Mus musculus: one gene and its partners. The protein of the gene in region 3 interacts with the protein of the main gene of each other region in a pairwise test. Links are inferred from orthologs where the notes say so. Each region holds a gene or a part of one and is shown on either strand. Other genes may lie near its edges.

What was found.
Region 1: the proteins of Litaf (region 3) and Hip1 interact in binary tests that used the Homo sapiens proteins (3 or more experiments, as listed by UniProt). The link is inferred for Mus musculus from reciprocal best matches to the Homo sapiens genes LITAF and HIP1.
Region 2: the proteins of Litaf (region 3) and Stam2 interact in a two-hybrid assay, tested with the Homo sapiens proteins (4 studies listed by BioGRID and IntAct). The two-hybrid records come from large-scale screens. The link is inferred for Mus musculus from reciprocal best matches to the Homo sapiens genes LITAF and STAM2.

The regions. Positions count from the first base shown.
Region 1 is NC_000071.6:135,542,204-135,546,432, forward strand, and holds the start of Hip1 (huntingtin-interacting protein 1), read right to left. Parts: upstream 2,920-4,229; 5' UTR 2,854-2,919; coding exon 2,734-2,853; intron 1-2,733. UniProt on the Homo sapiens protein: Plays a role in clathrin-mediated endocytosis and trafficking. Involved in regulating AMPA receptor trafficking in the central nervous system in an NMDA-dependent manner. Regulates presynaptic nerve terminal activity.
Region 2 is NC_000068.7:52,714,603-52,718,249, reverse strand, and holds part of Stam2 (signal transducing adapter molecule 2), read left to right. Parts: intron 1-1,678; coding exon 1,679-1,825; intron 1,826-2,492; coding exon 2,493-2,562; intron 2,563-3,245; coding exon 3,246-3,432; intron 3,433-3,647.
Region 3 is NC_000082.6:10,990,229-10,994,322, reverse strand, and holds the start of Litaf (lipopolysaccharide-induced tumor necrosis factor-alpha factor homolog), read left to right. Parts: upstream 1-1,201; 5' UTR 1,202-1,277; intron 1,278-4,094.

The DNA of each region.
Region 1 (4,229 bases), on a different chromosome or scaffold from region 3:
TGCAAGAGGATCAGGGGTTTGAGATCATCTTTGTCTTCATAGCTAGTCTGAGATCAGCAGAACTGCACGAGACTCTGTCTCAAGGCAAAAGGAACTGAAGAGAACTCAGTTATCTTCCGGGGATGCTCAGGACTCAGAGGTAGCTGGGATGTGGTTAAAGGTTGGGACCACTTCCAACTGTGTTACCCTGCAAGTTATTTAACCTCGCTCGGTAGGCCTCAATTTCCTCTAAGCAAAATGGGGTTGATAACCACTCCATCAGCTCTTGAGAAGATTAAAGATACCAAATCAAGGACTGTACTTAGAGGACCTCCAAACATAGTAGTTAGCTACAATTATTATAAAACCCACGCTGATTCTCTTAGTCTCTGAAGACACCAGTGTGTTTGTTTGTTTGTTTGTTTTAATTTTTGGGTTATTGAAATTCTGATTGAGATAGAGTCTCAATATGTATAGCCACAGTTCGCCTGGAACTGCTACTTAGACCACACTGCCTTGCAAGGATCCTCCTGCCTCTGTCTCCCAATGAAAGTTTGAGGGCCAGCCTGGTCTACACAGCTGAGTTCCAGGCCAGCCTGAGCAACATAATAAGATTCTCACTCAAATAAAACAGAACAACAGCGACAAAACAAACAAATTAAAAACAACATCAACAACAAAACAAACAAAAAACTCAGCACTCAGGAGGCAGGAGGACCTCTGTGAGTCTGAGGCCAGCCCGGTCTATAAAGTGAGCTCCAGGACAGCCAGGACTGTTACTTAGAAAAACCCTGTCTTGAAAAACCAAAAAGAAAAAAAGGGGGCTGGGGGGAGACTTCCACAACTGAAAAGCTCTGCTATAGAATATCTCAGTGCTCTCTCTCTCTCTCTCTCTCTCTCTCACACACACACACACACACACACACACACACACACACACACACATACACACGGCTCATAACAAGTGTTCTACAGAAGGTAAAACTAGACACTGCCTACCAGTCTTCCTGTTGGGCAACTAGGAAAAATGTTACTTATGGCTGGAAACATTCAAGTGCCTCAATTCTATCACTCTGTATTAAGTTCAAACTAAAAAAAAAAAAAAAAAAAAAAAAAAAAAAACATTTTAAAAGTGATTTTGGGTGTATGTATATGGAGGGGTATTCATGGCACGGCTTGAGTATGGAGGTCAGCAGACAACTTGGACAAGTTGGTTCCCTTCCTGGGATGAAACTCAGGTGGCCAGACTGGTTGGCAGGAGCCTTTACCCCTTAGCCACCTCCGCTGGCCGTAAGCTCAAACTTTTATGTCTAACTTATTGCCTCAGTTTTAAGTCGGATGCTATAAAATAGCTCCAGTTTATTTTCTTCTTTCAGTTTAAAAATAAAAGAGGTTGGGGGGGGATATGAAAACTTTTTTTTCTTTTTTTCTTTTTTTTGGCAACAACGCCCAAGGTTCAAAAGATCTGAGAAATTTAAAAAGCTCCAAACTCTATAGACATTGAGAGGTAAGTGGACGGTGGTCTCTCTTTCCCCTCCCGGGGTACAACTACCCCATTTCCCCCCTCAGACACAAGAAGTGGACCCAGGGGTCTCAGAAACAAGAGGTGGTGTAAAGTCCCCTGGGGTGAAAAGGCTTTCTTCCGAGCAAGGTCCATTTATAGAACACACAGGCCCTCCCTATCTCTTCCATCTTTCCTACTCACAGAACACGACAGGGGACCTGCCTCTGGCTGAAGTCAACTCAGATCTTCAAAGTAGAACTCGGAGAGCCAGAGTAGAAGAAATCTACCGGCCCGGCATCCGCAGTGGGATCCGAGGAGTTGTACTCTCAGAAACAGATTTTACATACAGATGAACTGATGACTACACACCCCGAGCCTCACAACTTGATTCAGTCCGATCAATACAGCATGCATAAAAGCCTGAGGTAAAACTGGATAGTGGCTTTTTGTTGATAACTGCGGTGGAATTTTGGCCATCTGCCCTGGTCAGACCAGACAAATAAGGCAGGCGGTCTGCTTATTAGCTGTCAGGCATATTTTGGAGGGTGAAAGCAAAACCTCAAATCAGGAGTCTGAGTATCACTGGACAGCTTATGCCGGCACGCAAAGCTCTGACAATCCAAGCGCCTCAATTCCTACCCCAGGCTGCGCGTCCCCGTTCCTCCAAACCCCCGGGCCATTTTACAAGTTGGACCACACTTCACATTTCTTACGGTCCTTCCCATCACTCAGACCCCTTTGGCCCAGCCTCTGAGGCCAACAGCTGGGGCTGCTGAGAGCCAAGTTAGAGGCACCGTTGAGCGAGATGCTGGGAAGTGTAGGGAGAGTCAATACTAAAGTAAGGCGACCAGAGCCACCCTTCACACCCCCACCTTGGCGTTCCCACACTTGGCAAAAACCAAGCGACTTCCAAGTGCTTCCCCTATCCAGGAGCACCCTTCCGTCAGTCCCCTTTCAACTCCCTTTAGCCTCCCTTGTGACCCCTGATGGTGCTCACTGAGACCGTCCCCTCAGCCGCAGGAATCTGCAGTTCCCCAGAGTGCACCCCGACCCCTATGCCAGTGGAGATGCCCAGGTAGATCCCGAACCTCCCTGGGACCCGCCTAGTTCCCTACCCCAAAATGATTCCGATCGCAGCCACCTTGCCTAATTCCTTCCCGAGTCTGCAAGTCCCACTCCCTTCCAAGCCTCTCTTGCACCCTGCATCACTCCAAGTGCCCCAGGGATGCCCCAGGGTTCTCGAATCTCACCTGAGTCCGCTCGAAGCTCTCGCGCTCCGCAGCCTCCATCCCAGCACCAACTCCGCGGCGGCTCAACACTTTGGGCAGCGGGTTGGATACCTGCTTCATGGAGCTGGCCATTCGGTCCATGTTGTCTGGGTGAACAGAGTCAGGGGCCCTCGGCCGCCCCGGGATCCCCGCGGAGCCTCCCGCCCCTCCCTACCCGCGGGGATCCGGCGCTAACGGGGACAGATTCCGTCTTCCATTGGTTGACAGCGCTGTCCATCTCCCTCAGAACCCACCCCATGTTTCCAAGAGGCTTTTCCCCACACCCCTCTTCCCACTTCGGAGGCGCTCCGCTCACTTCACCCGCTGCCCGCCTCAGGGCGGTCCGCATACTATGACTGGTCTGAAGGTTTGTCCATTATCATTAGTGGGCAGGACCTGGTGGGCTGCTGTCCTAACCTGCCCCCTAGGCTCCGCCCCATAATCGATGCACCGCCTTCCAGGCCTCTACATGCACTGTCATTGGTCTGAAGACTTATCTGTCAACAGGCTGGCTTGATGGGCTGCCCTAACCTTTTCTTGTTGGCTCCACCCTACATCCGTCACTCTTCCTTTGTTCCCACCCCCCAGGACCATAAAAGCACTATGATTGCTCTGAAGGCTTGTCCGTCATGCTAGTGGGTGGGGCCTGGCTGCCACAGACCAGCCCTTGCTGACTCCACCCTACTTCGAAGCGCCACCTCCTGGGCCCTTCTCTGCTGCGGGTTTCTGAGCAGTAGGACCTGCGGTCCAGCCGGCGCCACGAGTTCCCGAGGGGATGGAAAGGCAGATCAAGGGAAGCATGGCTGCACACCATGCTTCACCGGCTTGCTGGGGAACTCTGCGTCAGTGTGGACCCGCGATGGCGGCCTTAGTGGTCCTCGAAGTCCCCTCCTCGTGCATTCCTTTCTGCCCGTTCTGGAGGACCGTTCTGGAGGGTCCCCAAATACTGGCCTGTGATTGCGAGGATCTCCCCAGAGCTTTCCAAACTTTGCTTCGTTCTCACCTTATCTCGGTAGAAACCCCAACAGATGCTCTTTGTTCAACTATGGTAGGGTCCACTCCTCCCATCCTGTTCTGGGAGCACCTACAGACTGGGAAGTGCTCCTCAGCAAAGAAAAAAGTTACAGGTTCTTCACTAACAGAACTAGTGGCACCGTTAAGCATTAAGCAATTTGATGGTGCTATCCATCTAGCTCTGCAATAGAAGCCAGTACAAGTCTCACTTGTACTAGGCAATGTTTTAATTAATGACAATATCAAACTCACTATGTCGCTGAGTCCCTTGAATCCCTGAGCCTCTTGCCTCTTCCATTCAACTGTTAGGATTATAGGCGTGGGCCTCTAGGCTTGACTTTCCTTTAACGTTTTACACACATTTTGTACCTGTGTGTATGTGTGGGACTGTGTTCATACGGCAGCACTCTGTGGAGGTCAGAAAGCAAATTAGATTCTGTTCTCTACCGTGTGGACCCCAGGAT
Region 2 (3,647 bases), on a different chromosome or scaffold from region 3:
TATATATATAACTGTGTGTGTATATGTATATATATAACTGTGTGTGTATATATATATATATATAATTGTGTGTGTATATATATATATATAATTGTGTGTGTATATGTATATATATAACTGTGTGTGTATATGTATATATATAACTGTGTGTGTATATGTATATATATAATTGTGTGTGTATATATATATATATAATTGTGTGTGTATATGTATATATATAACTGTGTGTGTATATGTATATATATAACTGTGTGTGTATATGTATATATATAATTGTGTGTGTATATATATATATATAATTGTGTGTGTATATATATATATATATAATTGTGTGTGTATATGTATATATATAATTGTGTGTGTATATGTATATATATAATTGTGTGTGTATATGTATATATATAATTGTGTGTATATATATATATATATATAATTGTGTGTGTATATATATATATAATTGTGTGTGTATATGTATATATATAATTGTGTGTGTATATATATATATATAATTGTGTGTGTATATGTATATATATAATTGTGTGTATATATATATATAATTGTGTGTGTATATATATATATAATTGTGTGTGTATATGTATATATATGTGTGTGTATATATATATAATTGTGTGTGTATATGTATATATATAATTGTGTGTGTATATATATATATAATTGTGTGTGTGTATATATATATATAATTGTGTGTGTATATATATATATATATAATTGTGTGTATATATATATATAATTGTGTGTGTATATATATATATAATTGTGTGTGTGTGTATATATATAATTGTGTGTGTATATATATATATATAATTGTGTGTGTATATATATTATGGTAAGAACTCATCTTGGTTGAGGTCTGGTCATTGCTTTGACCATTTTATGTAGACTGCCTTGTTTATTTTTAACAACCACTCTTGAAGCTTGGCTTTGCCAAGGTCACACAGCGAGAAAGTGGCTTGGCTGATAGGGGTATCTGGCTGTCTATGACTTACTCGGGTCTAGGTGTCTGTGAGTCTTGACTCCAGACATTTCCATTTTTCTATATTGACTCCCACTAGACTTCGTGTTTCGAGGTCTTTATATTAGAGCAGCGTGGAGGCCCCTCTGTTTTCTTTGAAACACAAACTCTGAAGCAGCATTCTCATGCAGCTGTTGAAGTTGATGCGAAAATCCTAATCTCATGATGAGAATATTAAGAAAACAGAGCAAATAGCCATTGATATAAACTATTTCTAGTCATTTGAGCAATAAGTATTCTGGAAGGGTGATATTTATTTATTTATTTATTTACTTTATTTTTTCATGAAGCAGCTGTACCTGTCAATGTGAATAAGCTAAGCATGTGTCAGTTACTGGGCTACTCTGGAGATGCCTGCCCTGTGTCTCTCTTTAGCTTTTGGTGGTGATTCTCTGTTAATCAATTTAATTTGTTTTCATTTTTTGTGAGTGTATATATGTACATGCGCGCACACACACATGACACAGTGCGTGTGTGGAGGTCAGAGGACAGCTTGTGGGAGTCACCTTTTCTCGTAACTGTATGGTTCTGGGGGTCAAACTCGGGATGCCAGACTTGGCACCATGCCCTTTTATTTACTTTAACTCAGGATTTTGTTTGTTTTGTTTTGTTTTTGTTCCCTTTTCTTTACCACTTCCCTAAAAGGCTCATCCTAAAGTATGTGAAAAACTAAAATCTCTAATGGTGGAATGGTCAGAAGAATTCCAGAAGGACCCCCAATTTAGTCTGATATCTGCAACTATTAAGTCTATGAAAGAAGAAGGGGTTACTTTTCCTTCCGCAGGCTCCCAGGTGAGAGGTTTATTCAGACCATGGCTGAAGGTACTTATACAAGAGCTAGCAAGGGATAGGAGTTTTGTTTACTTGTACTCATGTGTGTGCGTGTGTTTGTGTACATGTGTGTGCAACCTTCTAATAAGTAATAAAGAGCAGCCTATCTGTCATTTCTGCTTGCCATTCTCAGAAATGAGTGTTAAAGGACTGTTGATGGCTCAGAGCTCTGCATACCTGTCCAAGGGCCATCAAACTGCAGAGGGTCTTGCTGTAGTGAGCAGCCAAGGACTTGAGGTGTACCCCAGGAGATGTGCTTTCTTTCTGTCTGAGCTCTGAGCCAGTAGCTTGTGAGTGCCTCTTCTGCATAAAAGACCTTCAGCAGCGGAGACTCAAGTTCTGTTCATTCTGTAAAAATTGCATTTCTTTCTTTATGCCAAGTTCTATGTCAGATACTTAGATTTATGTAAAATATTAGTCAGCGTGTACCTTTCATGTGTTTATGTTTTCTTGAAAACTGTTGTTTAGTGTTAGTATTTCAGAACAGCTACTTAAATGATCATGAAGAACCTCACTTTTTAAATGGAGTTGAGTTAGCAGTATTTTTTAATTAGCATCTACATATAATTATACAGCTTGTGCTTCCTTTGAAAGAATAGTTGTGCTCATTTTATTCATACGCTTACAGACTGTCGCGGCTGCTGCCAAAAACGGGACATCATTGAACAAAAACAAAGAAGATGAGGACATAGCTAAAGGTAAGTGGCCAAGCATCATTTGGTGCTGCTGAAAATAGTCTCACCAGGAGGTTTTACTGAAAGAATAATTAGAAGACCCACGAGTAGGCTTTTAATTCTACCTCGGATCTAAAAGCTGTAGGGTCTTAAAAGTCAGGAAAAGCAAAGACCTGACATAAGATGAACCTAATTCATTTGATTTTTTAGTAATATATATTTAATGTTCTACCTTTGGGGAGATTACATTTCACCTTTTCATAATGCCAAAGTTATGACTCAAGCACAGAAGTATGTTCATAATGTCCTATATGGAAAGCTACCCATATTATAATGTCACAATCTGTTTGCTATAAAAATAATTGCTGTATATTACAGACTGTGATGGTAATAAGGGATGAGCAAAAATGTTATTTTAAAAATGTCATGTGTCCCCGTCCCCGCCTGGATTTAACCATTTAGTTTTTGTTTGGACAGGCTTACTGGCATGTACCTCAGGTCCCAACACAGTGAGAGGCTGAGATAGGGGTGAGAGGTGGTCTCAGCTACTCAGGGAGCTCCAGGCTACTCGAGACCCTGTCTCGGAACACAAGGAAACACATGCTTGACTTATCCTTAAATAGAATATTGTTATCTAATGTTTTTTAAAAAGCTTTTAGATGTTAAAATTAATTCTGTTATCTTTACATTTTAATTTTCCCGACTAGCTATTGAGTTATCGTTGCAAGAGCAGAAGCAGCAGTACACGGAGACAAAGGCTTTGTACCCACCCGCAGAGAGTCAGCTCAATAACAAGGCTGCACGGAGAGTCAGAGCTTTATACGACTTTGAAGCTGTTGAGGACAACGAGCTCACCTTTAAACATGGTGAGCTCATTACTGTTTTGGATGACAGGTATGCTTTACCCTTTTTGTGTATCTGTGTGTCATCGTCTGAAGATACAAAGTATGCTCAGATGAGGATAAGGAGTACGCATGCTTTTGACTTTTTGTCGGATAATACCATATTCTTTTACTGTTTTCTTGAAGATTAGACTAGGCAGTGAGACCCTTGGTCAAAGCAGTCCAAAGCCATGCTTGGGTCCTCCACAAATACTACTACACAATTCC
Region 3 (4,094 bases):
CCAGCAAACAACAGGGATCTTCCTATCTCTCCCATCCCAGCACCGAAATTACAGAGGAGGATTTAGGAGGCAGGGCCTATCTGCTAAGGGTGGCCATTGAAGGTTAACTCTATTCCTTGTCTCTGATCACTCCCTCTTCTCCAGCCTGGTCTACTGTAATGTGAGTAGCATCGGCATAGCTTCAGCTGCCATAATCTCAACAGCTTTGCCAAATCTTTCCCACGGAGATGGACTGAAACCCTCTCACACTGTGACCCAAAATAAACCTTTTCTTCCTGCAGCCTTTTCTGTCTGCTACTGTGCTCACATTAAAGCAAGGGGATAAAATGTAAGCCATGCATGGTAACATACACTTTTAGCCTCAGCACTAAGGAGACAGAAGCAAGCAGATCTCTGTGAATTCAAGGCCGGGTGGGGCTACACAGTGAAACACTACTGTGAGCTTGTGTGCGCTCACGTGTGCGTGCACCCCCCCACCCCCCCCACACATGTACGTTGTAAGAATGTTTTTTTTTTTTTGTATGTGTGGGATGAGTTGAGACAGGGTCTCATTGTGTATCTGAGGTTGGCTTCAAACTTCCTATGTCTCTCAGATTAGCCACATTTTTTTTGAGAAACTGTTCAGCCGTAAAATGTGCTGGGCTTGTGGCACTATACTCATTTATGGGCCGCTGGGTATGAACCCTGTTTTCATGCATGCTAATGTTAGCCCTCTAACAGCTGAACTGCAGTCTGGCTAGTTTTTGTTTTTTTGAGACTGGTCTCACTATAAAGCCTTAGCTTGCCTGGAACTGTTTTAGATCAGGCCGATCTTGAATATACGCCTCTACCCTCAGTACTGTTCATCATATAATTTTATTCAAATTATAAACTTTCATCAGCTACATAACATACAAATGTTGTCTCCCATTCTGTAGGTTGTCTTTATGCCTTGACTTTGGTGGAGGTGTAGTTGTGGCTGTTAGAAACAAAGAATAATCTCTCCCCTCCCTCTCCCAGGCCTCGCGGCTCCAGAGTCCGCCTCCCGCCCGACCTTTTGGCCCCGCCTCCGCGCGCCCCGCCTCTCGCCAGCCCACTCAGGTCGTAGCTTCATCCCTACTCCTCCTGCCTCAAGGCTGTTACTCCTCCCCTCCTAGACCCCACCCCATCTGGCCCTTTCCAGCAAGCCACGCCCCGAAACATCTCCGCCCCCGGCTCGCCCTGCCTCCCCGGAGCCCTCCCGGCCCGCGCGCGCGGCCAGAGCAGACCTCCCGGCTCGACTGGCGGCGCGGGCAGCGGTGAGTGCGGCCCTGCTGGGTGCCCGGTGGGGAACACCAGATTCGGGGCGCTGGGCACGGGGCGGCAACAGAGGCGAGGGTCGGGCTTTGCCACCTGCCTAGAGTCCCGGGGCACCGCGCTCTCCTTGGGGGGCGAGCAGGGATGTCGTGGGACCCGGGGTGGCGCGCTCTGGGCGGGATTGAGGGCGAGGGGTCCCAGCAGTGCGGTTGTGTTTGGTTCTCAGTCTCGGACTACCCAGCTTCCGTCCGAACCTCACCAAATGATGCCCCTCGGGCTTATAGGAAAAGGCGCGACTTTCTCTAGTAACCTTTAGTATCTAAGTTGCGATTTGGAGAACGCCCCTGTGTGTACTCTGAAAGCAAAAGCGAATAGAGAAAAAGTAGAGTAACTTTCCAGATGCTCTTTAGCTGTTCCGGGCCCACGCGTCTTTTGCTCTTATCCCTGTGAGTTTCACACGGGTTCCCAGACCGGTGCGAGCGTATCGGAGAGCAGGGGAACTTCAGGATCGCGGAGTCTAGAGCCCAGGCGAAGGAGGACGTGACCCCCGCCTGTCCTGCCAGCCCAGTTCTTACTTCCCAGTGGTTTCCAGGTCCGTGTGGGTCTAGACGGTGCTTTTGATCGTCATTCGGTATCGTGCCCCCAGCTTTCCGTTGAGGTTTAAGAGGAAGAGGTGAGGAGAGCATGGGTGTGTTTTAGAAAGGGTCGTTTGGACATTCCCTACCTAATACTTTGTCGGGTTTGTGCTTCCGGAGAGTGAAGCTGATGTCATTCTCTGTTGGACTGAGCGGTAGTCATTGGGAAATAGTTTGTGGAAGTCACGGGGCTCTCTAAGCTCATCCCCTTTTTGCTGTTTTGAGACGGTCTTAGATAGTCCAGGCTAGCATCCCAACTCCATATGTAGCTGAGGCTGGTCCTGGACTTTTCTGCCTCCACAGTGTTGAAATTACAGGGTTGTGCCACTGAGCCGCTCCTCCAGCCTTTTCTGAATTAAACCGTCCTCCCCTGAGTGAGCTGAAGCTGGTTCAGGGACTCCTGGACTCCATATTGGAGTCCTTTGAAGGAAAATCATTTCTACCACTAGGTGCTTGCCTCCTCTTCTGCCCTCCGCTCCAGCCTTCTCAGATTGGCTCTTTTAAAGTAGAACTAATGCAGAGAGAAAGGAGCTGAGTGGTATCACTAATTCCTCCAGCGATTGGCTTTATCAGTTGGATCAGGATCCAGAGGGTGTGTCGCTTGCCTTGCCTGACCTAGAATAACACCCATACTTCATCTTCTCAGCCAATCCTTGTTCTGCCTTCTAAAGGTGTTCAGGCCAGCTCAGAAATATTTGTTGTAGATCTACTTACTGTGGGAGAGGCCCATTGTCCTCCTTCCTATTCCACTAAAGGCATTAATAATGAATGGTTTTATTCCTGCCTGAAAAAATATCCTTATGATAGTTTACTGAATCAAGTGACACAGTGATTGGTATCAGATCCACCCAGTGTCTTGAGTCTCTAAGATACTAGACTCCCTAGATAGTAGCTCCCTTCCTTTGGCGGATACATTCCTTTGTCCATCAATACTTTTATGGCCTGGCCGTAGGAGGGGAAAGGGCTACCCCTTGTCCTTTGAAAATGCTGAAAAAATGGCTCCTGGCCCTAAGTGGCTTATGCTATGGGCGAAAAGCAGGCGTGCTGTTGAAAAGTTCAGAGCTTAGCTCAGAATCCCAGCTTAGGCAATTGGGAGATGTTCCTAGACAGGGAAAGTTGTATGGGAAAGCTGAGGTCTGAGCACACTGCACATAAGCAGAAAGGTCTCAGCAGAGCTGCAGCAGAGGTGTAGACAAGTGCAGGATGGAACACAGTAAGAGCAAAACCTGCTGAGTGGAAGGGGCTGGCCATAGGCAGTTCCTGCTTTCCTGCCTTCCATTTAACCCAGTCATTCCTACTGATGTCGGCCTCACGCTGAAGTGAGAATGGGCAGAACCCCTCCCCCCACTTCAAGTTTTCCTGCAAATTTCCCTGAAGCTCTGGTGAGGGTGGAAAGTAGGAGGAAGCCCTGGAGTCTTGGCACCAGTCATTTGTATTTTGTTTGTTTTGGCTTTCTGCTGCCATGAAAATGGCCCCGGGAACCAGGTGGCTTATATCCACAGGTAAACAGACCCTGCTCTGTGTGTCGGTCTCTGCCATTTGGCCACCCATGGCTGGCTCTGAACTTGAGTGGTGTTTACCCACTGTGGAATTGGAGTTTGAGGTCAAGTGCTGCTTCTGGGGTCCTCATAACTTTGTTTTATTGTTGAGCATTTCAGTCTGGATAGTGATGACAGCATTAGACTCACTGAGAGTGTCACTTGACTACAGGTCTTTGAGAATTGTGTGTTATTTTGTTAAGTTTGTAGACAAGAAGGTATGGCCCCTGTCTCAACATCCTAAGACTCACATCCAAAATGCCTTCAACAAAAGACACATTAGAACAAAGACATTGAAACACAATTTGTTTGTACACAGATGGTGGGGCTGAAGCCAGTCTTTTTGCTCAATCTTTTTTGTTGTTGTTGTTGTTGTTTTTTGTTTGTTTGTTTGTTTTTTCGAGACAGGGTTTCTCTGTATAGCCCTGGCTGTCCTGGAGCTCACTTTGTAGACCAGGCTGGCCTCGAACTCAGAAATCCGCCTGCCTCTGCCTCCCGAGTGCTGGGATTAAAGGCGTGTGCCACCACACCCGGCTTTGCTCAATCTTTTTGGCCCTCTGTAAATTTCATTCTCCTGGAGATGGGGCAGGACTCCAAGGTTCTAACAGCTATGATCAGGAGAGAGAGAGGTGGCCTTTCCTCCCCC